Linked DNA regions of Rhinolophus ferrumequinum. The protein of the gene in region 1 purifies or fractionates together with the protein of each later gene. This does not show direct contact. Links are inferred from orthologs where the notes say so. Each region holds a gene or a part of one and is shown on either strand. Other genes may lie near its edges.

Region 1 (12,750 bases):
CTCATGCATTATCCCATTTAGTGCTCCACAATCTTATAAAGGAGATTCTATTATCTCCATTTGATAAATGAGAAAACTGAAGCACAGAGAAGCTGAGAAATGTATCCAAGGTTAAATAAATAACAAGTTCTGGAGTTGAGAGTCAAACTCAACTATTCACCACTACCAACCACTACGTAGGAGAAATTGGTCCTTAAACGAACCAGGACAGGCCCCCAAGCACATGCTCAGTCACTTTAATGACAAATATGAGCCTATATAACCGCTGAAGTCTTGTGAACGGCCAGCAGTATTGGGTAACGAAAGCCTAACAATAGAGATTTTGTAGCAGCTTTTTTGTAAAGTCAAAATTTCAGAGTTGGAGGAGTCCTTGAAAGATTTATTCACATTTACCTCTTCTTTTTGCAGATGTGGAACCTAAGGCATGTGCGATTCACCCAAGAGCAGAGAGCTAGTTAGCAGAGCTGGGAATTGAACCTAGGTGTTTGGTCTTCCTAGGTCTTTGCAATGTACAATCATTTCATTCACTCAACAAATTTCTAAATGTCTATACACTTGCAAGCACTGGAAACTGAAGAGACCAGTCAAAACCCACATCTTAATTATTGGATATTTTTAAACTGCTTACCCTCATGGAGCTTATAATCTGCTTCCCTCTTTCTAGTGACTCTTCCTTCCTCTTTCAGATATGGGATACATTATTGTTGAGTGGAAGAAAAATCAGACACACCTTTGTTGTGAGAGGCAGTGCAAAACCTGCCGAAGCACACAGTCTGAGGACATACACAACTGCCAACTTCAACACTCGCCTCTATGTTAACTGGACTGAAAGAATGAGCCCCTGTGGTGGAAAACGGAGCTGCCGTGGAAATAGCAGTGAACCTGAAGTTAGTGACTATGAATCCAGTCCTAATCCTATTTATTTGGTGTGTGACCTCAGGAGAGTTTGCTCCTGTCTCTGAACCTCATCCATAAAACAAGCTCTGCACCACAGCAAGAGATGCAAATTCACATTCTCACAGGGGCCGGGCAATGATGAGGTGTGATCAAAAAACACAGTGAATGTTTAAATTTTTAAAAATTATTACAGTAAGGGGCCGGCCCGGTGGCTCAGGCAGTTAGAGCTCTGTGCTCCTAACTCCGAAGGCTGCCGGTTCGATTCCCACATGGGCCAGGGGGCTCTCAACCACAAGGTTGCCAGTTCAACTCCTCGAGTCCCACAAGGGATGGTGGGCTCCGCCCCCTACAACTAAGATTGAACACGGCACCTTGAGCTGAGCTGCCACTGAGCTCCCGGATGGCTCAGTTGGTTGGAGCGCGTCCTCTCAACCACAAGATTGCCAGTTGGATTCCTCGACTCCCGCAAGGGATGGTGGGGCAGCACACCCTGCAACTAGCAACGGCAACTGGACCTGGAGCTGAGCTGCGCCCTCCACAACTAAGACTGAAAGGACAACAACTTGACTTGGAAAAAAAGTCCTGGAAGTACACACTGTTCCCCAATAAAATCTTTAAAAAAAAAGAAAAAAGAAGCCATGTGCAAGAAAACAGCCTGAAAAATGGGCAAATGGTTTCATCCTCCATCATGACAATGCTGTATCACATATCGCTTCTGGTACGGCAATTTCTGTCAAATAAAAATATTACAGTGTGTCCTCATCCACCTTATTTACAGGATCTGGCACCATGCGACTTCTGGCTCTTCCCCAAAGTCAAAATGACCGTGAAAGGTACATGTTTTGAATCGATTCAGGACATCAAGGCAGACACAGCAGCGCAACTAAAGACATTCATGAAAAAAGACTTCCAGAACTGCTTCAGAAAGTGGCGAGAACAATGGAATAAGTGTGTTCAAAGCGAGGGGGTGTGTTTTGAGGGTGATTAATGGCAATGTATCTTTTACTGTAATAATGTTCGTATATTTAAACATTCACCGTATTTTTTTATCATACCTGCTATATCAATGCGTGAAGCTGAACTGATGGAGACAATGGCAGAGAACCCATGCTCTGCATAAAAGAGGCAGCCCCTACTTAGCTCCAAGTAATGTGTGGTTGTCTGACCTTTCTATTTTTCAAAAGACAGAAATCAGAAACTCTATGTGAAACTTCCAGGTGGGGGAACTTCTCATTACAAAAACTTTCAAGCATACAGAAAAGTAGAAATAGTTAACATTTTGCCCTACTGACTTACCCACAAACCTATACCATGGCATTTCATGCCTTTAGCGTGTATCTCCAAAAATATGACATTCTCCTTCATAACCATACTATTACGGTATATCTAGAAAATAATCCCCACGTATCATCGAACAGGGCTGAGTATTCAAATTTCCCCTATTGTCTGAAAGATGTTTTTGTAGAAGTTTTCTTCTTGAATCCGAATCCAGTCAAGGTTCATATCTTGCATTTGGCTCCACCTCTTTATTCTTAATCTAGAACAGTCCCTTCATTTGTTCTTTTCCATGACACTGACTTCTGGAATAGAACTAATACAGTTGTCTTGTGAAGTTTCATATTCTGGACATCTTATCAGTACCTCAATGGTGTCCTTTAATTTGTTCTTCTGTTCTCTGAAAGCATGTTTAGAGTAAAAGATAGATATTCAGCAGGAAAATGTCAAAGATGCTGCACTGAAGTTCTTATTTCACCACATCAGAAGGCACATTATTAATAATCACCTCCAAGAGACAAATGAGTTTTTATTTTTCTTTTGTTTGAATATTACCTTGGCTTCATGGGTTCTAAGTCATTAAATATCATTAAAGGAAGTTGAGTTTATTCTTTCTGATGCTCAAACTGTCCCTAATCTGGCCAGTTCTCTAGATTTTTATTTTTTTAATTTTTTTTTAATTTTTACTTATTTTAAGTGTTTTTCTGGGACCCATCAGCTCCAAGTCAAGTAGTTGTTTCAATCTAATTGTGGAGGGTGCAGCTCACAGTGGCCCATGTGGGAATCAAACCGGAAACACTGTTGTTAAGAGCACTGCGCTCTAACCAGCTCTAACCAACTGAGCTAACAGGCAGCCCCCAATTCTCTAGGTTTTTAAGCTGGCAAGGAATTTCAAAAAATGTAAAACACTGTATGAGATACAGGCCAGTTTTTAACCTCTAGACTGTATGAGTTTCCCTGGGAAGGCCCTTTTTACTATTATTAATCTCCCTTCCAGTTCTGACAACATTGGTCCAACATCACAGAGGCAAAACCGTAGCCAGAATGCAGTCTGCCACCTCCCATTTCAAAAGGAATCCTAGTAGCCCCCAGAGTTCTTCTATCACACCTGGAGTCCCCTTAGAAGCAAGGGAACTGTCCCTCTACCTTCAATCTGCTTTGTGGAACCTCCTTCCTGTCTATACAGGGGAGGAAATCACTGCCCTTCCTACTCCAGAGAGCTGTTGTGAGACTCAGTTGAAAAATGGACATGGGAACACTGACACTGTCAGACTGTCTACAAATATAGATTCCAAGTTGTAGAGAACACTTTCCTTCCCTTCCAGGATCCTCGGCCAATCTTTTCCAGGTTCTCAGAGTTCAGTACATCTCCACTACCTCAGAGTAACTCCGGCCTCCCAAGAATTCCATACCCTGACTTTGATTTGCCCCTTACGTCACCTGCTCCTCAGAAGCCCCCACCCATTCCTTATTGCTCCTCAGATGAATCATACCTATCTCTCTGACAGTTCCCTTATTACATTGCTATTTAACCCTCACCAACTTTACCCCACCTCAAACAAAACTACCTGCTATCCCCAATCCCTTGGATCAACCTTTCTAATGCATTTAGGAGCCCTAAACACTCCCGTTCCTTCAAACAGCAGCCCCTAAAATCAGTCCACCCCACCTATGTCTTCAGGCCCAGTCAGTCATCCTTGAGTTCCCCTTTTCATACCCCACACAGACTCCTTCAGCAAATGCTGTCCCCTCTACCTTCAAAATATATCCAGAATACATATTTGGTCCCTTCTCTAGAGCTCCAAACCCCATTACTTATGTCTCAAGTGGATTATTGCAGTAATTACTGCAGTAGTGCCCTAACCGGAATCTTTATTTCCACTTCTGTCCACTTCAACCTATTCTCCACACAGCAAGTGATCCTTTTTAAAACACAAATCGGATCATGTTACTCCTACTCAAAACTCTCCAACAGGTTTTCCAGCACACTTACAATAAAAAAGAAAAAAGCGACTCCTCCACTTATTTGGTTCCAGCCACCCTGTTCCTGTCATTTCCCAAGTCTGCGCTGGCCTCCAGGATTTTAGGATTTTACACGTGCTGTTCTCTACTGCAGACTTTCTTCTAGACGGCTTTTTCCCCTCATACAGGTCTGAGACACAGTGTTACCTCTTCAGAGGCCTTCCCTGCCACCCCATATCAAAATAGTTCTCCACTTCACCATCCTTTCTTGACCCTCTTATCCTGCTTTTTCTCCCTTACACTTGCATTACTTAACATATTATTTATGTTTGCCTCCAACACCAGAATGTAAGTTCCATGTGCGTAAGGAGTCTGCTTAGTTCAGGGATATATGCTGCGCCTAAAACAATGCTTGAGACAGGTGCTCGATAAATATTTGATCAGACCAATCACCTCTTTAAAAGACGCCATCCCCTTGGATAACTACTCCTCAATGCCCCAGGTATGCCAAACCTGTCCTCTCTGGACACCCCCCCAAACCTAGACACAGCAACCTAAGGCATCTCCATCCGCCCGAGACGCTCCAAGCCTCTCAAGACTCCCCCTAGAAATAACTTGCCACCAAACTCCTCAAAACCCTCATTCTTTCAGATTGGCCCACCCACCGCTCAGAAGCTACGAGAAAGGAAGCTCACATGTTCGGTTCGGCAGTCTCCCCAGCATCCGGCGGAGAACAGGTCCCCACCTTCTAGGAATGAATGAACTACGCCCCCGCCCTCCCGCCCCGCTTCATCCCTGCCAGGCTTTCCTGGCCCTTCCTATTCCCTAACCCCCCGCCCCGACCTGAACCCCACCATCACCCCATTCGGGCTTCCGAGTCCCCGAGTTTGAATCCTCCTGATCCCTTAGGACTCCCCACCCCGCCCCCTCTCACAGGCCTCCAATCACTCCGAACGGCCCTCTCACCACCCTGGGACGTCCCCGCTTGCAATACCTTCTAGAAACATCCCAAATCAACCCTTCCAGTCCTCGCAGGTGGGCTACCACCCCCGGGAACAGAATTCCCGCCTCCTCTCTTCAAATCAGACCCCCTCGCTCCCTGAGGGCGGCTAACGCCTCAGGCCAGACGACCGCTCTAGCCCCTCAGCCCCACAAGCCGCACCGGCCCTGACCGTTTCTGGGCCTCCAATCCCCAGAGACGAATCTGCCGGTCATACTGCGCCGCCTCCTCCTCGCTGATTCCGCCGCCTGTCTCCTCCTTCTCCACCATGGCGCCGGCTCTCACTGCCTGCGCTCCGCTTCTGCTCACGCCAACCGCCCGCCGGCCCGCTCCTCTCCAACCGCCGCCAGCAGCGTCTGCGCCTGCGCCAGGAACCGCGACTGCGCAGTAGCTCCTCCGCGGGCCAGCCAGCCCATAGATCCTCGGACAGACCAAGTGGACCTCCCCAGGCTCAAAGGCGGGCCAGTGACTGCTAGTCACGTGACGGAGACTCCAGCCAATCCTGACTAAAAAATGGCGCGGTCTGTGGCCCCCACGAGGATACCCAAGTGGTTGTTTATGAGGCTATTCATTCAACACGTATTTATGGAGTGCGTGCTGCAAACCTGGCATTGAGGATGTTGTGAAATAAAGTGGTGAATAAAATAGTCAAAGTCCTGACCTCACGGACAGCTTCCACTTTCTATCTCTTGGGACACTTGCTCTTAACCCCAGCTTCCATGCTAGCAGAAGCCAAAACAGCCCAAGGAGAGGTCCACATGGAAAGGCACCAAAGCTCCTGACTCTCAGCCAGGTCAACAGCTGCAGCCAACAGCCAACACCAACTTGCTGGCTATGTGAATGAGTCATCTTAGAAGTGGATCCTTTGGCAGAGGGTCAAGTCACCCCAGATGGAGGAGAGACAAGGCATTCTTGCCAAGCCCTGCTCAAAGTGCTGATCTGTAAGCAAAACAAATGATTGCTGTTGATTTATGCCACCAAGTTTTGGGATCACATATTACGTAGCATTGGATAACCTAAATATTCTTCCCCCCACAACTCTCTCCTCACACTTTCCCCTCTCCTGTCTCTCCTCCAGCCGCCCTTTGCCTGACCCCAACTCGTTCTCTCCCTGACTTTTTTCCCTTTCCGTGCTGACATTCTCCATCTTTCTGAATTTAGTCTCTTACATAAACTCTGGGGGGAGTATTTTGTACTGTGGGGTTGGGGAAGATTTCTCAGAGGAGGTAATGAACAAGTAGAGACGTGAAGAATGAAGAAAAGTGAAGGCTGAGCTGTGGTGAAGGGGACAAAGGCATTAATCAAGAAACCAGATTATGAATTCTTTTTAAATTTAAATATACACTTGACCCTTGAACAATATGGGGGTTAGAAGCACTAACCCCCTCGCCCCAGCCCAGTTGAAAATCCACATATAACTTGATTCCCCAAAAACTTGACTACTAATAGCCTACTTTTGACTGGAAGCCCAATTGATAACATAAAACAGTTGATTAACACATATTTTGTATGTTATGTGTATTATATAATGTATTCTTACAATAAAGTAAGCTAAAGAAAAGAAAATGTTATTAAGAAAATTATAAAGAAGATAAAATATATTTACAGTATTTATTTAAAAAATCTGCATGTAAGTGGATTTGTGTTTTTTCTTTGTTTTACTTTTTTCTTTTTTGTTGTTTTGGTCTTTTTTTTCCCTTTTTTTAAATTTATTGGGGTGACAATTGTTAGTAAAATTACATAGATTTCAGGTGTACAATTCTGTATTACATCTTCTATAAATCCCATCCCATTGTGTGTTCACCACCTGGAGTCAGTTCTCCTTCCATCACCATATATTGGATCCCCCTTACCCTCATCTCCCACCTCCCACCCACCCCCCTTTTTTTTTCAATTCCCATTTATTTTTGGTTCTTGGGACAATGTCATTTTTTTTCAATATGAAAAAAAGCAAATTCAACACAAAATAGAAATTTGAAGTGTAGGGTAGGACAAAGCCAGGGGTAGGGGGGAATGGCAATAGCAAAAGATGAGATGTTGCCAGAAGATGGTGTCCTGTTCCATCCCTTCTGGGGAATGATTCAAACATTTAGGTGGCAGTACATACCTTTCCACACACATACAGCAAGACTGGTATTTTTGGGGGGTAAGAAAAAGTGGGGATGTGGAGGGCCTGTCTGGAGGCTTAGGGACCAAAGTGACTGGTCCCTTTCCCCTTAACCCCCTTTTCCAACCAGAGAAAGGAAGGGATCCAATGTGAGAGGGAGGTTAAATGGAAGAGGGAAGGATCCCACTGGACAGAGTGGGGCAGATCCCTACAAAGGAAACAGCTCAGGATGGAGCTGGGAGGGAGACTGAAAATGGACACAATACTGTTAACACCTCCCCCAAAGCTGAGAGAGGAGCAGGGAAATACCTGGAAACTAGGACTTTAATAGCCTGGATCCCACTCCCAAACTACTCTAGAATGGGAAGCCCTACCCCTTCCTGTAGGGACCTCTCCCTACTAGTTAGGGTGGTGTCCTTTCCCCTTGGCTACCACATGGGCTTAGGATGGTGGTCATCCATCTGGGTTTTCAGCACATGGTTCTAAACAGGATTTGGATGAGACCCAGCTTCTTGGAGAATTATCTTCAAAACAGAGAGGGAAATATTAACTGGACAGATGGGAGGAATGGACACCAGAAGGAAATGCAAGATTACTCAAAATGAAAGGAATCTCGATTTCCCAGAGTGGAAAGAGACAATATTCATTGAGCGCCCATTTATGTGCCAGACACTGTTCTAGAACCACCACCCCCAAAGAAAAAAGAGGCAGAAAATGCAAAGTCTGAGGGAGAGTAGAGGGGCAGATAAGGAACAAGGCTGAATGAAGGAACTAAGACGCCTGAGTGACGACAGGGCTTGGCCTTAGGCCTCCTCTTCGGCCTCCTTACCAAAATCCTCCTTCTCTTCCGCGGTGGCATTCTGGTACTGCTGGTACTCGGACACCAGGTCGTTCATGTTGCTCTCTGCCTTGGTGAACTCCATCTCATCCATGCCCTCGCCCGTGTACCAGTGCAGGAAGGCCTTGTGCCGGAACATGGCCGTGAACCGCTCCGAGATGTGCTGGAACAGCTCCTGGATGGCCGTGCTGTTGCCAATGAAGGTGACCGCCATCCTCAGGCCGCGGGGTGGGATGTCGCACACGGCCGTCTTCACATTGTTGAGGATCCACTCCACGAAGTAGCTGCTGTTCTCGTTCTGCATGTTGAGCATCCGCTCGTCCACCTCCTTCATGGACATCCACCCACGGAAGACAGCAGCCACGGTGAGGTACCGGCCATGGCGGGGGTCACAGGCAGCCATCATGTTCTTGGCATCGAATACCTGCTGGATGAATTCGGGCACAGTGAGGACCCGATACTGCTGGCTTCCACGGCTGGTTAGAGGGGCAAAGCCAGGCATGAAGAAGTGGAGGTGTGGGAAGGGCACCATGTTGACTGCAAGCTTGCGGAGGTCAGCATTGAGCTGGCGAGGGAAGCGGAGGCAGGTGATCACACCACTCATGGTGGCTGAGACAGGTGGTTCAGGTCCCCATACGTTGGTATGGTCAGCTTGAGGGTGCGGAAGCAGATGTCGTAAAGGGCCTTGTTATCAGTGCATCGAATTGATTACAATGTGTGAATAGGTCTCATCAATATTCTCTACCAACTGATGGACGGAGAGGGTGGCGTTGTAGGGCTCGACCACTGTGTCGGACACCTTGGGCGAGGGCACCACACTGAAGGTGTTCATGATGTGGTCGGGATACTCTTCCCGGATCTTGCTGCTGCGCCGCGTGCCCGTTCCAGAGCCTGTGGTCCCGCCCAGTGAATGGTCAGCTGGAAGCCCTGCAGGCAGTCACAGCTCTCAGCCTCCTCCCGCACCACGTCCAGGACCGAGTCAGCCAGCTCAGCCCCCTCTGTATAGTGGCCTTTGGCCCAGTTGTTGCCTGCCCCAGATTGACCAAAAACAAAGTTGTCTGGTCTGAAGATCTGGCCAAAAGGACCTGAGCGAACAGAGTCCATCGTCCTGGGTTCTAGATCCACCAAGATCACACGAGGAACATACTTTCCACTTGTGGTTTCATTGTAATACATGGAGATGCGATCCAGCTGCAGGTCACTGTTGCTGTGGTAAGTGCCAGTGGGGTCGACGCCATGTTCATCACTGATCACCTCCCAGAACTTAGCACCGATGTGGTTGCCACACTGGCCGGCCTGGATGTGCACGATTTCCCTCATGGTTCAAATTTAATTTTTTTTTTCTCACCTCAAGGTGTGTACGGGGCAAGAAAATATGTAATTGTTTTTGCTCTGCTGCTGGTCGCGGGCTGGAAGGATGGGACGTGCCCTGGAGGTTGGAGCAGCTAGGTCTGAACGCGATGGCAGGAAGGTTCTTTGGTCTTTTTAAAAAGCATTTAAATCTATTTGTTAATTACAACTTACAATGTGACCACTGTACAAAGTGACCACTGTACTTTGAAGTAAATAGAAAACATAAAAAATTCAGGATCCTGACAACTAAAGATACAAGTCAACTCTTCCAGAATAAGCATCACTTTGCTTAGAATGATTTGAGGGCTAGCCGGGTGGCTCAGGTGGTTGGAGCGCTGTGCTCCTAACACCCACGTTGCAGTTTCGATTCCTACATGGGCCAGTAAGCTGCGCCCTCTACAGCTAAGATTGTGAACAACAGCTGTCCCTGGAGCAGGGCTGCCTTGCGTTGCCAGGAGTGGCCAGTGGCCAGCGTGAGTGGCCAGCAGCCATCATGAGCGGCCGGCAGCTGAGAAGAGCTGCTGGGAGCGGCCGGCCTACCAACTGCCTCAGCCAGGGGGAGCACAAGGTTCGTAATACCAGCATGCTCCAGGGAGCTGTGTCCTACACAGTTAGACTGAGAAACAACGGCTTGAACTGGGGCCGTGGGAGGCGGAAGAAGGGGAAAAAAACAACAATAGAATGATTTGAAGCTCTTTTTGAAATGGGCAAGTTTGAGAAGCACATACCTGCCTCTATAAATTTGTAATGTTTCTTCCAAAATTACTTGACTCCCTAGGAAAGGACCTTTCCTAACTGCTTTCCTGACCCCCAATCCAGCCTTCAACTGTGATCTTACTCCTTATCCTATTCCAGAGGATGAGATGAGGGTCCTGATGGGTGGAAGTTCAGCGACAGAATGAGAATGGGTTGGTAATTTTTATTTTATTTTATAAAAAAATTTTATCTTGAAGATCAAGCTTAAACAAAAGAAATAGTCCAGTGAATAGTCATATATCATTTATCCAGATTCATTACAGGGAAAAGTTTTCAGAACTACAAATCTCACCAGGAAACCCCAGTAGGCCAGATTTTCTTAAATATTTCCACCATATAAAAAGCCAAATATGCACAAATTCCTTAAACCAAAACATTAATTCCAGAGGTTTGAGTCACATGAACATTTCTATATTTAACTCCAAATATTCCCAGGGTAAAATGATGCCAACTAAGGAAATAATTATGGCAACAAGGGGATTTACTTAATTCTTTTGACCTTCCCTATGGCTGATTGCATTTTGCAAAGATGGCTACAACAGTGTCTCTCAACCTACATGCTCTTTAAAAAAAACAAAAAAACCCCACAAACTTTTATTTGTTTAAGTATGTTTTTCCAGGACCTATTAGCTCCAAGTTAAGTAATTGTTTCAATCTAGTTGTGAGGGCGCATCTCACAGTGGCCCCTGTGGGGATCCAACTGGCAACTTTGTTGTTAAGAGCACAGCTCTTCTCTAACCAACTGAGCCATCTGGCCACCCCTACATGCCCTTTTTGCAACATCCCTTTGACACTGCTCCCATTGAGGGACGTTCATTTCCCTTGAAACTATTCTGGCTTTGGTGACTGACCAATAGAATGTGGCAGAAGGGACATTGCTTTACTGCCAAGCTAAATCAGGAAAGGGGAGGTCACTTTCACCCTGTGCATGGGAACACTTGAGTTTGAGCCCTGATAAATCAGATAAGCAGTCCCATTACCCTGAGACTGCAGGTTGAGAGGAAGCCCAACCCATGAGCAGAAACCACATGGAGAAGCCCTGAAATTACACAAAGAGAAAGAGATGCCAACTCAGCCCCCAGCTTTCAAGCCTTCCACTATTCCATTTCTAGACACGTGGTATGCAACCACAGAAATCCCAGGCCAGAATCAGACAGCCAAGCCTTCCTGACCCACAGGTACTGTGAAAGATAACGAAATGAGGGGGTCAAATACATGGTGATAGAAGGAGACTACTCTTCAGGTAGTAAGTACACAATACAGTATAGAGATGTCATGTTATAAAGTTATACATCCAAAATGTATGTAATGTTATTAACCAATGTTCCCCCAATAAATTTAATGAAAATTTTAAAAGATTATAGGAAAAAAGGGAAATGATTGCTGCTTCAAGCCACTAAATTTCAGAGCATTTTTTAAATTGTGGTAAAATACGCATAACATAAAATGTACTATCTTACCCATTACTGAAGAAAAAAAAGAACGAAAAAGAAAACACCTTCCCTTTTCTCTCTCCATCCAGCCCCTGGCAATCACCATTTTACTTCTGTTTCTATGAGATTGCCTATTCTAGATATTTTACATAAGTGAAATCATACAATATTTGTCTTTTTGTGACTGGCTTATTTCATTCACTTAGCATAATGTCCACAAGTGTCATCTACGTGTAGCATGTGTCAGAATTGCCTTCCTCTTTAAGGCTGCATATATTCCATTGTAAGTATATACCTCATTTTGTTTATCCACTCATCTATCAATAAGACACTTGGGTCTTATTGGGACCCCCTCACTTGGGGCTTTTTGACGATGATGAATAATGCTGCTATGAAGATGGGTATAGCAGTGTCTCTTTGAGACCCTGCATTCAGTTCTCCTAGGTATTTATTTACCCATGGGGCAGTTAGTTTTTCAACAACATCTAATTAGAACAGCTGCCCAAAGTGAAACTTTGTAACTTAAAAGGGGTGGAGAGCAGTTATGTAGTAGATCAGGCTCCTGGGTTTAAGGATTACATAATTAATTAGCTGCACCCAGGTGCCTGCTCACCATTAACCAAGTCACTGGTTCTCAATCCCACCTGAAGATTAGAATTACCTAGAGAGCTTTTCAGCAAATATGGTGCCCTGGTCCCTCCTCCAGAGACTCTGATTAATTGGTCTGGGTGGAGCTGAGACATTCGGATTTTTACAAAATGCTCCCCAGATGATTCTAAAATGCAGTCGGGGGAGAACCATAGAACAAAGATCTGTGTGCTGCTCATTCTAGTCTTTTCCTGTTCGGACCATTTAACTCTTAGGGCTATTTAAGACATTCAACTAAGCTCTGAATATTTCTTATGGCTCTGTACAACTTGCAATCACACTTTCTAAGTCAGTCTGTAGACACTGGTTAGAGTAGGAACTTAAGGGAATCAAGTGATAAAACTAATAGGTTTTAATAAAATTATAATACCAATAATAAATCTAAAATATTTAATTATAAATTGATGGATTTTTCATCTATAAAAGGTGTTATGGGTAGAAGAATTGTGTCCTCCCAAAAAATATGTTCAAGTCCTAATCC
Region 2 (12,455 bases), on another chromosome or scaffold:
TCATCAGCTTGCTCAGCGGGGTGTGTCTCTTGATTTTGAACTGGACCACGGAGCCGTCCTGCCCGGCCACCTTCAGGTTGATGTGGTCGTTTTCCGTCTTCACGCCCTCCTGCAAAAGACGCAAAACGGGGTCGCAACACTGTGTCTCAAATCACCACAAGACTTTAGGTGGTTGCTGGGCTCTTCGTCAAGTCATTCAAAGCAACCCAACTCTTAAAATTCTCCAGCAATCCAGTCACTCGTGTGACTTTTATTATTACAAAGAATTTATTTCTAACTTCTATTGATATTTATCAGGCATCCACGTGAAGGAATGCAATCTACAGAGTTCATAGTTAATTCAAAGAAAAAATTCTTCTTAATAAATTTAGGAAAAAGCTGAAAGCCCATGTCTGTCATAAGATGACGCCTGCGCAGCCGGACCACTGTGCTATGTGACAGACCTGCCCAGTCAGGTTTTATACACTGGCTGCCACCTTTCCTCTGCACACGCCAACAGCCCTGGGAGGGAAGCCAGCCCTCGCCTGTGCAGGTTCCCGTTCCATCAGTCCCATCTGAGCTGAGCGGGGACATGTTATCTTTACATGATCCCTGACACACGCATGCTCAACAATCACACACGGGTTTCCTGTCTCCTGGAAACACACGTGTCCTGGAGCAGGGGCTCAGTCTGAGGCATTTCCTAGGAACCAGAGTGACGCACCCGCGTGTGACGCGCCCACAAGGGTCCTGCAGGCAGAGCCGCCTCATCTATCTGGCTGTTTGGGAATAAAGGAGTCCTTTATTTTTGAACAAAATGATGAAGCTGACCCCGAGTCAATTTGCTAATAAAGTTCTGATGGAAATCAAAGTGTATTCTGCACTTTCTCCAGCTGCCACACATGCTCTTTTCCCTGATGTGTCACTTGTCAGTGCAGCCCCGGAGGACCTGACCCCCCCACATCAGGGGCTCAGGGCCAGGACGAAAGAGGGGCCCTGCAGGATTCCACACCTGCTCCCCTGCCCATCCTGCTGGGACAACTGGGTCCCTTGTTCCCCTCCCTGTGTGCCCAGCCATCCTAACAGAAGGGGACAGGGGGTGATGGGGTGGAGTGGGGGGCAGGCAGCTGCATCCTGCATGCTGGCTCCAGGACATCCCAAGTGGGGGCACAGCTCTGACCAGGGAGCTCGGAGTGGCCCCAGAAGTGGTCCCAGGAGGCAAGACCCCAGCAAGGAGCCTAAAGGAAGACATCCTGGGGTGGCACTTACTGGCCACACCGCAGCCCACCCAGCACCTGGGCACAGGCACCACTCACGCCCTCCCTCTCCACAAGTGGGGGGCACTCAGTGACCCGAGGCCAAATGGGCTAGGGGGACCCTCTAGGAGCACCCACTTCATTCCCTAGAGACTAAGGAAGCATTTGCTTTTTATTCCAATAAATGTTTTATTTTAGAATTTTACATTTACAGAAAAGTTGCACAGCAGAGGTGGAGAGATCCTATGTGCCCCTCACACGCTTTCCCTTATGTGAACAGCTCACACAGGCGTGCGGGACGTGTCACGCCTAAGAAACCAACACTGCCCATCACTAGCAATGAAACCTCAAGCTTTTCTGGTATCCGCCAGTTTTTCCATTGTCCTGTTTCCTTTCCATTTGCTGTTCCAGGATCCAATCCAGGGGACTACATTGCATATAGAGATAGGATTTTTTTTTCAATTTTTTCATTGTGTTAAAATACGCATAATGTATAATTTACCATTTTAACCATTTTTACTGGCATTAAGTACATTCACAATGTTGTGCGACCATCACCACGTGGCATCCACCTCCAGAAGTCTTTTCATGGTATAAAACTGAAACTCTGTTGCCATTAAACACTAACTCCTGTCCTCCAGCCCCTGGCACCAGCATCCTACCTTGTCTCTCTCACTTTGACTATTCTAGGATCTCACATAAGGGGATTATACGGAATCTATCTTTCTTTGCCTGGCTTATTGAACCTAGCGTCACGTGCTCCGGGTTCATCCATGTCGTAGCAGGTGTCAGAAGGTCCTTCCTTTCTAAGGCTGAAGAATACACTCTGTTGTGTGTATAGACCACAGTATGTGTATCCGTCGATAGTCACCTGGGTGGCTTCCACATTTTAGCTCTTGTGAATAATGCTGCAATGAATATGGGGGTGCAAATATCTCAAGACCCTGCTTCCAGTTATTTTGGGTATATACCCAGAAGTAGGATTGCTGGGTTTGATGGTAAATCCCTTTTTAATGTTTTGAGGAGCTGTTTTTCACAGCTGCTGCACCTTCTTATATTCCTGCCAACAGTACACAATGGCTCCCTTTTCCCTACTCCTGGCCAACACTTGTTTTCTGTTTTTCTGATAGTGGCCATCCAGATGGGTGACGTCTTGATTTGCATTTCCTCAGGGACCGGTGATGGTGGGCGTCTTCTCATGTCCTTATTGGCCATTTGCATGTCTTCTTTTGGGAAATGTCTACTCAAGTCCTTTGCTCATTTTTGAATGGGGTTCTTAGTTGTTGAGTTTTAGGAGTTCTCTATATATTCCAGATATCTCATCAGACATATGATTTGCAAATATCTTCTCCTCTTCTCCAGGTTGCCTTTTTACTCTGTTGCTAGTGTCCTTTGATGCACAAATTTTTTTTAATTTTCACGAAGTCCAGTTTGTCTATTTTTTCTCGTATTACCTGTGCCTTTGGCGTCACTTCCAAGAAAGCATCGCCAAGTCCAATGTTGTAAAGTTTTTGTCCTGTTTTCTCCTAAGAGTGTTACTGATTTAGGTCCTTAATTTTTGTACATGGTATTTAAAAAGATCCAATTTCATTCTTTTGCATGTGGACAGAAGATGCATTTGCTTTTATAATGAAAAAATACAGAAGTATTCAAAAAAACAGGAGCAGGGAACGGAACACAAAACAAAGAGAAACACGGGGCGGAGGGTCCCCAGGGACGATGGCAGCACCAGCTCCCTCAAGGGGTGGGTGTAGCCAGGAAAGGTCCCAGGTACCTGTCCCCAAACCCCTCGTGACTTACTAACAAACAAGCAGTAAAGGAAAAAACCATAACCCTAATGACAACCACCACAATGCACTGTGGTCTGTCCCGTCTCAGCCACCCCGGGGGGAGAGAAGCTGCTTTCCCAGCTGAGCCCCAAGGGTTTCCTCCCGCAGCATGATGGTCTAGGAACACACCTCCTACCGTCCTCTCCTGGCACATAGCGGAGTGCTCCCAGCATGCACCCAGGGCACCGCAAAACATTCCGTTGTCTTGGACACAGGTAAAACACGTTTATTCAACTTAAAGGACCATGGAAGTGGACCCCATGGGAGGGCTAAGTTTAAACACACTGAAGAAATGAGGAACAGGTGGAGGCCACCCAGAAAACCATAGAGGCATTTATATTTGGCAGAACAAATCATCTGGGCTGGGAGGAGTGATAAGAAAAGGCTTAGAACCAAAATGTACTAAGTGAAGGCCGCTGCAACCACATCTGGAGAGAGGTTTGCCTGGAGTGTAACCTTTTCTCAAAGCAGGGCAGGAGAGTGCAGGCTTCCACAGCCTCTGTGCTGCTGGGAACGTGCTGGGCTCCCGTCTGGGCTGCAGAAGGTGCAATCTCCAGTTCCAGGGCGGTATCAGAGGAAGCCTATGAGCAAGGCATTCGACTCAACGGCAGATCTTCCTCTTAGTAAAAAGAAACTGGCCCTAACAGCGCAGACGCAAAGCTTTAGACACATGTTTTAAATAATAGTAGTTAAACCCACTACTAAATAAATAGTAGTGCCCGCTTACCTTTGGAAGGGCTGAGGCCAACGCCTGGGAGGCGCGCACACTAGAGGGCGCCATGGGGACGGGTGGGCGCACACCAGAGGATGCGACCGGGAGGGTGGGCGCACACCAGAGGACAGCGACGGGGAGGGTGGGCGCACACCAGAGGACAGCGACGGGGAGGGTGGGCGCACACCAGAGGACAGCGACGGGGAGGGTGGGCGCACACCAGAGGACAGCGACGGGGAGGGTGGGCGCACACCAGAGGACAGCGACGGGGAGGGTGGGCGCACACCAGAGGACAGCGACGGGGAGGGTGGGTGCACCGGAGGACGCGGCAGGAGGGGCTGTCCGCTTAAGATTGGCAAGGCGCGCAGACAGGCCAGGCCTCTCGGGGCCCCTCGGGAGTGGCCTGCAGTAAAGACTTAGGCGGGGGCCTCAGCAGACAGCGCCGGGGCTTTCCGAGGACGTGGGTGTACTAGGGGGAGGCCTCCACGACGAAGGAGGTCCCCGGGGACGGGTGTTCCGGGGGAGGGATCCCCGCGGGGGACGGAGGAGAGCGTTTCTCCGTGAAACGGACGGGTGGCCGCGTCCGAGATTCCCGCTACTGGATGTGAGCGGGAAGAGGGGGTTTCCGGTGGGAGAGAGGGTATGTCGGTGGAGCGTACCCCGGCGGGGGACTCCACGGAAGAGAGGGTCCGGATGCGGCAAAGGGTCCAGCGGGGAAGGGGCAGTAGAGACTGGGAATCCGGGCAAGGAGAGTCCCGCTCTACCTCCCAGCGCCGCAAGGTCCCGCTCTTGGCCCTAGGTCAGCTCCAGGCGGGGTTCCCCGCTGGGCAGGGCGGAGCCTCATCGGGGGAGGGGCCCGGGCAGTCCCGCAGCGCGTGGAAGGCGGAGCGGGACTCGTAAGGGTGGAGCTGTCGGGCGGGGGCGGGGCGCGGAGCAGTTTGGGCGGAGCCTGGACGGAGGGCGGGGCGCGGCCTGGGCCGAGAGGGCGGAGCCTGGACGGGGGCGGGGGAGGGGAGCCGAGCAGCGCAGCGGCAAAGGGGGGAGGGGTGGAGGAAAGGTGGGGGTGGGGTGGAGAAAGTGGGGGAGGGGCGGGAGGCCCAACGCTGGGAGGCCCCGCCAGTGCCGCCGTTCCTGGCCCGAGGCAGAGCCCGGCCGCGGAGGGCGCGCGGTGTGCGGCGGGGACGGCGGGTGGCACGCGGGCGGGGGTTGACCCCGGGTGCCGGCCAGCGCCCACCGGCTCTTACCTTGGGCTTCTCCTCGGACATGGCTGCGCACGGCGGCGAGGCGGCAACGGGGAATTAGACAGCGCCGGAGCCGGCGAGTCACGCTCTCGGCCCGCCGCTCTCCCGCCGCAAATGCTCGCGGGGCCGCGCTTTGCCCCCCAAATCCCGGAGCGCTGGTTGGCCGGGGCGAGATCACGTGGTGGACGCGCGTGCACGACGCGCGTGCCCGGGCCGTCGAGCGCGCGCCCGGCGGGGCCGAGGTTCTTGGCGGTTAGGAATGCGTCACGGGGCGGGGCCTCGCGCGATCCCAGCGGTCCCCCCTCCCGGGGACGCTCAGGGCTCTGGGCTCGGGGGCCGCGCTGGCACCTCCGGGGAGCTCAGGGCAGCGAGGGCGGGGGGCCAGAGGGGCGCACTGAGAGCCTAGACCATCAGGCCGGGCCAGGTGCCGCGTCAGAGACAAGGCCTGGCGCGTTACCTCGGGGCCTGGCTGCCACCTCAGTGCCATGGTCCACAGACCTGGTCCCTCATCTACTTAGGTAACTCAGCCAGCCAAGCCCAGGCCTACCCACTCATTTCCTCCTTTCCGAAGGAAAAGGAAAATAAGACCGTCTGGTGAACCACCTCCAATGACCACAGGAGACCTGGGTGAGCGAGGGGTGCCTCGGAGGTGAGCCCCTCCTGGAAAAGGCTCGGGACCCTTTCACCCAGGAGCCAAATGTCAGGTCATGAAGAACTGCTGGGTGAACCAAGAAGGCAGGCCAAGGCGACCCTCCATAGGCTCCATCCACTCAGGACACTGTATTTGCTGATTTCGAAGCCCACGCAAATTCAAGTCTGATCTCCTTCACCCAGAGCTGCAGGTGGACAGAGGCATAAACAGGGATGTGCATGTCTTACTCTGGCAACGCCTCACTCTGACCTTAGCCAGGCCTTCCTCTGCCGTTTCCTCTTCTCCCTTTGTCTAGTCCCCCTTTGGGGCTTCTGAACCTGGCTACTGGAAGCTGACCACCTGGGGGAGATGGTGGGAGGGGTGTAGGAGGCCCTCTTGTGACCATTTTGCTAACGTTTCTGGAGTGCACACCTTGTGCCAGACGCTAGCCCTCTGCACCTAATCCTCACAGCAACCCATTTCACAGATGAGGAAATTGAGGTGCTGAGGTCAATTTACACACCTGAAGTCCCACAGTTGGTAAGCAGTACAACTGGGATTTGAACACTTGGCAGTTGGTCAGTGAGCGTGACCAGTGTGCTCTACCGCCTCTTGGGGCAAACCCAAGGCTAGACCCCACCAAGATGGTCCACAATGGGCGCTCAGGCAGTCACTGGAAACATGGGGGAGAACGGGGGCCATGGTCAGGATGTCCTTTCAGTACTTTGAGCACACATTCTTAGAAGGCCCTGCCTCCTCTGTCCTCCCTGTCTGTAATCCTGATGCCCTCAGATGAAATGGACCAGGGATGGCTGACATTTATCTACTACTACTCAGGGTGTGCCAAGCCTGGTGCCAAGCTTACCTCATCCCACTCAAGCCTCACAACACCTTGAAGCAGGGACTCTTGTGATCCCTATTTTACCGATTAGGAAATGAAGGTTTAGGGGGAGGGTGGACTGCCCAGGATGATACAGCTAAGAAAGAGCAGGGTCTGGATTTGAACCTGTGATGGGATCATTTCCATCCTGCCTGAGTGAGGCCCAGGCCACTGGTTCCACTCATTTCCTGTTAACATCACAAAGCCATAGATCCAAGTTTTCATGGACTCTAATTTCACAAACCTCTGATTCTTAAAAATCCACTTCTTGGCCAGAGGCACCATTTAGGAGAGGGGAACAGGGCATCCAAAATGGAGCTGCCACATCACAGATTCGCCAAATCTCTCCATGAAAGGTCTGGTCAGAGTCAATCCCCTGTCTCAGCCAGGACCGAGAGTTTGGTCCCTTTCATCCTGGACCCATGGCCCACCTCTGCCAGAGGATCCCTAAGTAGAAGAGCCCACTCAAGCTGTGCTTCCGGGAAAGGGGAGACTTCCGGCACCAGCCCCTTCCGGTACAGAGATGCACAGTGGGGCTCAGACTGCCTCTTGCCCCCACCCCAGATCGTTGGCTGTGGTGTGTGATTTCAGGGAGGCAGTGTTCAGATCCATCATCAACTCTAAGACAGCATCAATGATAAAACATAACATTGTATGTGTCACATACATACTAAGCTATGACAGGTTATGGATGGAAGACACATCCTGTTTTCAGACTTAAAGTGTGAAAAATACATTAACTTAAAATTGATGAAACACAATATCTAAATATGTTACAATTAGAAATTAGACTATGGTCCATTCATAACGAAAGGCTATGTCACTATTAAAAGAAATGTGTAAAGAAAAGAGTAGTTGGTAACAGGAAAAGAAGCTCAGATGATAAGTTTTTAAAAACAAATTATAAAATTATCATGGTTTTGAACAACCATAAAATCTGTATGAAATATTTTGAAAATCTCTTTGAAGACATCAGATAGCTACCAAAACAGAGAAGACTTTCTCTAAGGGGCAGAGATCCCAGCAAGAAAGTGATTTTTTTCCCTTTGAGGTCTTTGGTGATTACTATGATGTATCAGTCTGTTTGGGCCATCGTAACAACATACCATAAAATGAGTGGCTTAAAGAACAGACATTTTTTTTCACAATTCTGGAGACTGGAAGTCCAAGACCAAGGTGCCAGCAGGGTTGGTTTTAGACGAGGCCTCTCTCCTTTGCTTGTAGATGGTCACCGTCTCCCTGTGTTCTTACATGGCCTTTTCTCTGTGTGTGCATGGAGAGAGGGAGAGGGAGAGAGGCAGGAAGAGGGAGGGGACGGAGAGAAACACACACGCACAGTGCAGTCCATAATATATGCAGTGGACAAGAAGCTGAGACACAGAGCAGAGCTTTTGAGTCTGTTAGGTGGGGGAGACAATAACTGGACATGGCCAACAGGATGATAAACTGGGGGTCGGGGGCACTCTGATCAATAACCTGGACCTTGAGCTGGAGCACTGAGCTCTACAACAAAGTAGTAAGGCTGACATCCTCACAAAGACTGAAACCAGCACCAGACAGCTCACTCCCAAGTTGGACTAAGCTGATCTCTCCTTCTCATTGCCAGCCTGAAGCAAAAAGAAATCTCTGGAGGAAAACATCATCTCAGGCCTCAAATTAACTAAAATAGCTTCATACGCAATATACAGAATTGAATAAAAGTTTACAAAGAAAACCAGAATACAAATGATCCAACACCAAGAAAAGTGTATGTGTGTGTGTGTGTGTGTGTGTGTGTGTGTGTGTGTGTAGAGAGAGAGAGAATAAATCCACAGGAAAACAGGATATTGGCATTATCAGACACAGACTTTAAAGTAACTTTAAATAATATGTTCAAGGAAACATGAGATGAAATTTTTCAGCAGAGAAGTAGAATCTATTAAAAAAAAAGAATCAAATATAAATTTGAAGACAAAAATGCAATAATTGAAATTACGAATTAGGTAGATGGGTTTAACAACAGATTAGACACAGTGGGAGAGATGATTATGAACTGGAAGATAAAATTCAGAAGAAATTTTATTTCTTCTGAATATTTTCAGAAGAAAATATTCAGACAGAAGCAGAGAGAGAAAAAAGTATGGAAAATATAGTAAAAGATATATGAAATATAGTGGAAATACATAACATATTTGTAAAATGGAATTCCAGAAGAAGAAAAAAGAATAGTCCAGAAGCAATAGTTGAAAGATAAAAAAAGGGGATTTTTCAAAATTCACCACAGATAACACACCACAGATTAAAGAGAAACTACCAACCCAAATGAGAAATAAAAAGGAAACCACACCTAACTATATGACAGTAAGCCTGCTGAAGACCAAAGAGAATATCATTGTTTTAAGGAAAAACAAAAAGACTCACATCGCACTTTGCAACAGAGACATTGAAGCCAGGTGACAATGGAATGGCATCTATCAAATGGTGAAAGAGAAGAACTACCTACATAGAGTTCTATATCAATTAAAATTTTGTATAAAAATAGAAGTAAAATAAAGATATTTCAGAAAAAGCAAATCATCTAGAATTCATTGCCAGAAAGCATACACTAAAGGCAATACCAAAGAAATATCTTCCTGCGGAGAGAAATTGACCCCAGATGGAAGCATGGATATATTAATACAATGGGGAACAAAGAGAGAAGGAAACATGGAAATAGAACAAAAAGCATACATACGTAGGTAAATCTAAATGCATAATGACTCTGTAAAACAACAATAATGTCTTCTGGGCATTCATCCACCCACCTACCCACCCATCCATCGTCAATGCATCTATTACAGGGCATTGGCTGCCACAATCATGGGACTGTTAAGTCCCACGGCATCCCATCTGTTGCTGGGGCTTCAAGCTGCAGGGTGGGCAGACAGGAAGGGAGGGTCATGAGCTGCAAGGGCTCTCAAGCAGAGGCTGCGCCACCTCCACGTTCGTTGCCTCAGCCCTCTTCCACAAGGGGGTCCTGCAGAAGCAGGGCCCTTTGTCATGGAGCTGACTGCTCACTCCTGGCTTGCTGCTGTATCCCAGTAAATAGGCAGAATGGCTGCTGCCACCTTTCTGTGCTCCAGAATCTCCCAGGAGCCTGTCTTGGGCCCATCCCAACTGGAAACACACAAGAAAGGGAATTCTGAGGTATTCCCCACCAGCCACCTTGACGTGTTGGAAAGCTCACTCACTACCTCAAATGGCATATGCCAATCTATTTGTTCATTATCTGTCTCGTGCCCCAGGACAGTGCTAGTACCTGCTACAAGCTCAGCAAGACTTTGTGAAATTGATGGGTGCGTGGGTGGGTGGGTAGACTGATGGATGGATGGATGGATGGATGGAAGGATGGATGATGGATGGATTGTGGATGGATGGATGGATGGATGGATGGATGGAAGGATGGATGATGGATGGATTGTGGATGGATGGATGGATGATGGATGGATTGTGGATGGATGGATGGATGGATGGTGGGTGTGTGCATGGGTGGATGCGTGATGGATGATGGATGGATGGATGGATAGATACATGAGTGGGGGGTAGTGGGTAGATGGATGGATGCGTAGATGGATGGATAGACAGACAGATACCCTACTGCTTCTGCTTCTGTGGTTAAACCCTGCTATATTAGGTGGCCAGAAGAACTGAACAATAGATCTAAGTTAGAAAACAGGTCCTATCAAAGGAGAGCTCTTCAGGTAGGTGGCCAGGGAAAATGCACACACCTGAACAGAGAGAGAGCAGGGACAGGAGCTACCAGGATGCCTAAGAAGGTGCTCCAGGGAGCAAGCATAGCCGAGAGGGAGCTGGTGGCTGCAAGAGGGAGATTCAAGTGGAGGAGCCCAAGGGGCCTTCTTGAGTGCAGGACATGAGTGACTCCATCTTAAGGCTAACCCGCCATCTTGCTGTCTGGGTAAGCCTGGATCCCTGACCCTTGACCCTCGACACTCTCCCCTACCTTGGCTATGTACACACAGCTCTGGGCTGGTCACAGGATTTCCCTTAGTTCTCTCCAGCAGGGGGCCCTCAATGTTGTCTTAACTTTCTCCCTGTTAAACTGAACAACCCACAAGCTGGACTTGTCTGGCCCCCCTTTGTCCTCTTGGCTCCTTGGGCATTTGGGGGCTGCTTTGCTACACAGCCCTCTTCTGAAATTTAGGCCTAGGGCCTATTTCTAACTAAGTGCAGTGGGAGCTGTCGGGATTATGTGGGTCCGCACCATGAAAAGTGCAGTGTAAAGGGGTCCCTCAGGCCAGGGAGGAGGACAGGCTGCGGGGCAGAAGGGGCAGCAGATAGCAGTAGGGCCAGCCGAGCTGGGTGTCTGGGGAGGGGCAGAGAGGGTGCGGCATGGACCTGGGGGGGGGGGCAGCACAGGGACACCGTGGGCCTGGGTGACAGGGTCTGGCTCGGACTGGCCGTGGTGAGAGGCCTGTGGGACACATGGGGTCAGGGGGAAGTGCGGCTGGTAAGGAGCGTGGAGTTGGTCACCTGGGGCCTGAGGAGACTGTCCGGGGAGGTGTGGAGGCTGGCATTGCCAGTCCCCCCCGCCCCCAGATCTGGGCTGCGGGCTCTGATCCTGGAACCCAGCACCATGTGCTTTCCGAGCACAGCCCCGAGCTCCCCGTGTCCCCTGAAACAGCCTCTCCTAATCATGGTGTCTGGGCCCCTGGAATTCAGTCACCCGTCCCAGCCCTGTGGCTGAGCACGCAGGCGTCTCTGCACTGGCCCCACCTCTCCAGGCCAGTGTCCACTTGCGGGGGGGGGCGCGCCCTGGCAACCCTCTTGGGAAATGGGCCCGGGTCTCCGTTGCAAGTCATCTAACCTCATGCTCCCGCCCTACGGTGGTTTCCGCTCGTAAAAATCCCTTCCTAAGGCTTCCGAGCCAGCTCAGGACAGCGCTGCCTCCCGCCAGGGCGGGGCCCGCCTCTCAGGTATTGGGTGTCAATCATCCAACCCCCTCCCACAGCACTGCCTCCTGTCGGGGCGGGGCCCGCCTCTCAGGTCCTGGGTGTCAATCATCCAACCCCCTCTGGATGGCAGCTGGTGCCCTTGCAGCCTGCTCTCCCATCAGTCACCCAGTTAGCAATCCTCTGCAGCGAGGGGTTAACTATCTTTATGCCTGGTTAACTATCTTTATGCCTGGTTAACTATCTTTATGCCTGGTTAACTATCTTTAAGCCTGGTTAACTATCTTTATGCCTGGTTAACTATTCTTCATGTGGGTTAACCTCCCTTTACATTGACAAGAGTTAACTCTTCTTTATGCTGAGCTGATGACTCTACATACCATGCCGTGCCGTTCCTTGGCCGGGGCCCTGCTGGCACCTGAGTGGAAACAGGGCAGCCTCCCGCCAACTGCCCTCTGAACATGAGTCCCCGAGACCCTTTGAGTAACTAGAGGTGGCCCTCATGATTTTGGAAAGATGCTGAAAAAGCAAAAATGGCAACGCTGTTATTTGATTAGGACACAAAGTCAGAAACCGTAAGGCACAAAGAAAATGCCACATCTTCACCCTCAGTCTGAGATACTTGACTTAATTTGGCCAAATGTGATCACTTAGAAAGTAGACGAGGAACACATGCAAAACACAGGAAGGTGAGGTTAAGTCCCGAGAAGGGCTTATCAGCGTCCAGACCGGCCAGCCAGCGGCAGGGAGCCGTGGACAGGGACAGGCTCACTGCACGTGGACAGGGACAGGGACAGGGACAGGGACAGGAGCCGTGGACAGGGACAGGCTCACTGCAATCCCTCAGCGAGCGTCCCAACCTCACTCCGTCACCACGAAAGCCCCATCGCAACTCCCACTATTGAAGAAAATTCACTTTATTTTGTCACCTCCGTGACCCTGTCCCTAAGTGTCAAGAACTAGAATTTGAACAGAAACTACCCAGGCATGTTATGGTGA

The links.
Region 2: the proteins of SAE1 (region 1) and SUMO3 purify together in Homo sapiens (affinity purification with mass spectrometry; 3 studies listed by BioGRID and IntAct, with this or other methods). This does not show direct contact. The link is inferred for Rhinolophus ferrumequinum from reciprocal best matches to the Homo sapiens genes SAE1 and SUMO3.

Annotation. Positions count from the first base shown.
Region 1 is NC_046298.1:43,149,932-43,162,681, reverse strand, and holds the start of SAE1 (SUMO-activating enzyme subunit 1), read right to left. Parts: upstream 5,508-12,750; 5' UTR 5,405-5,507; coding exon 5,307-5,404; intron 1-5,306. UniProt on the Homo sapiens protein: The heterodimer acts as an E1 ligase for SUMO1, SUMO2, SUMO3, and probably SUMO4. It mediates ATP-dependent activation of SUMO proteins followed by formation of a thioester bond between a SUMO protein and a conserved active site cysteine residue on UBA2/SAE2.
Region 2 is NC_046285.1:107,876,055-107,888,509, forward strand, and holds the start of SUMO3 (small ubiquitin-related modifier 3), read right to left. Parts: upstream 5,258-12,455; 5' UTR 5,042-5,257; coding exon 5,021-5,041; intron 110-5,020; coding exon 1-109. UniProt on the Homo sapiens protein: Ubiquitin-like protein which can be covalently attached to target lysines either as a monomer or as a lysine-linked polymer. Does not seem to be involved in protein degradation and may function as an antagonist of ubiquitin in the degradation process.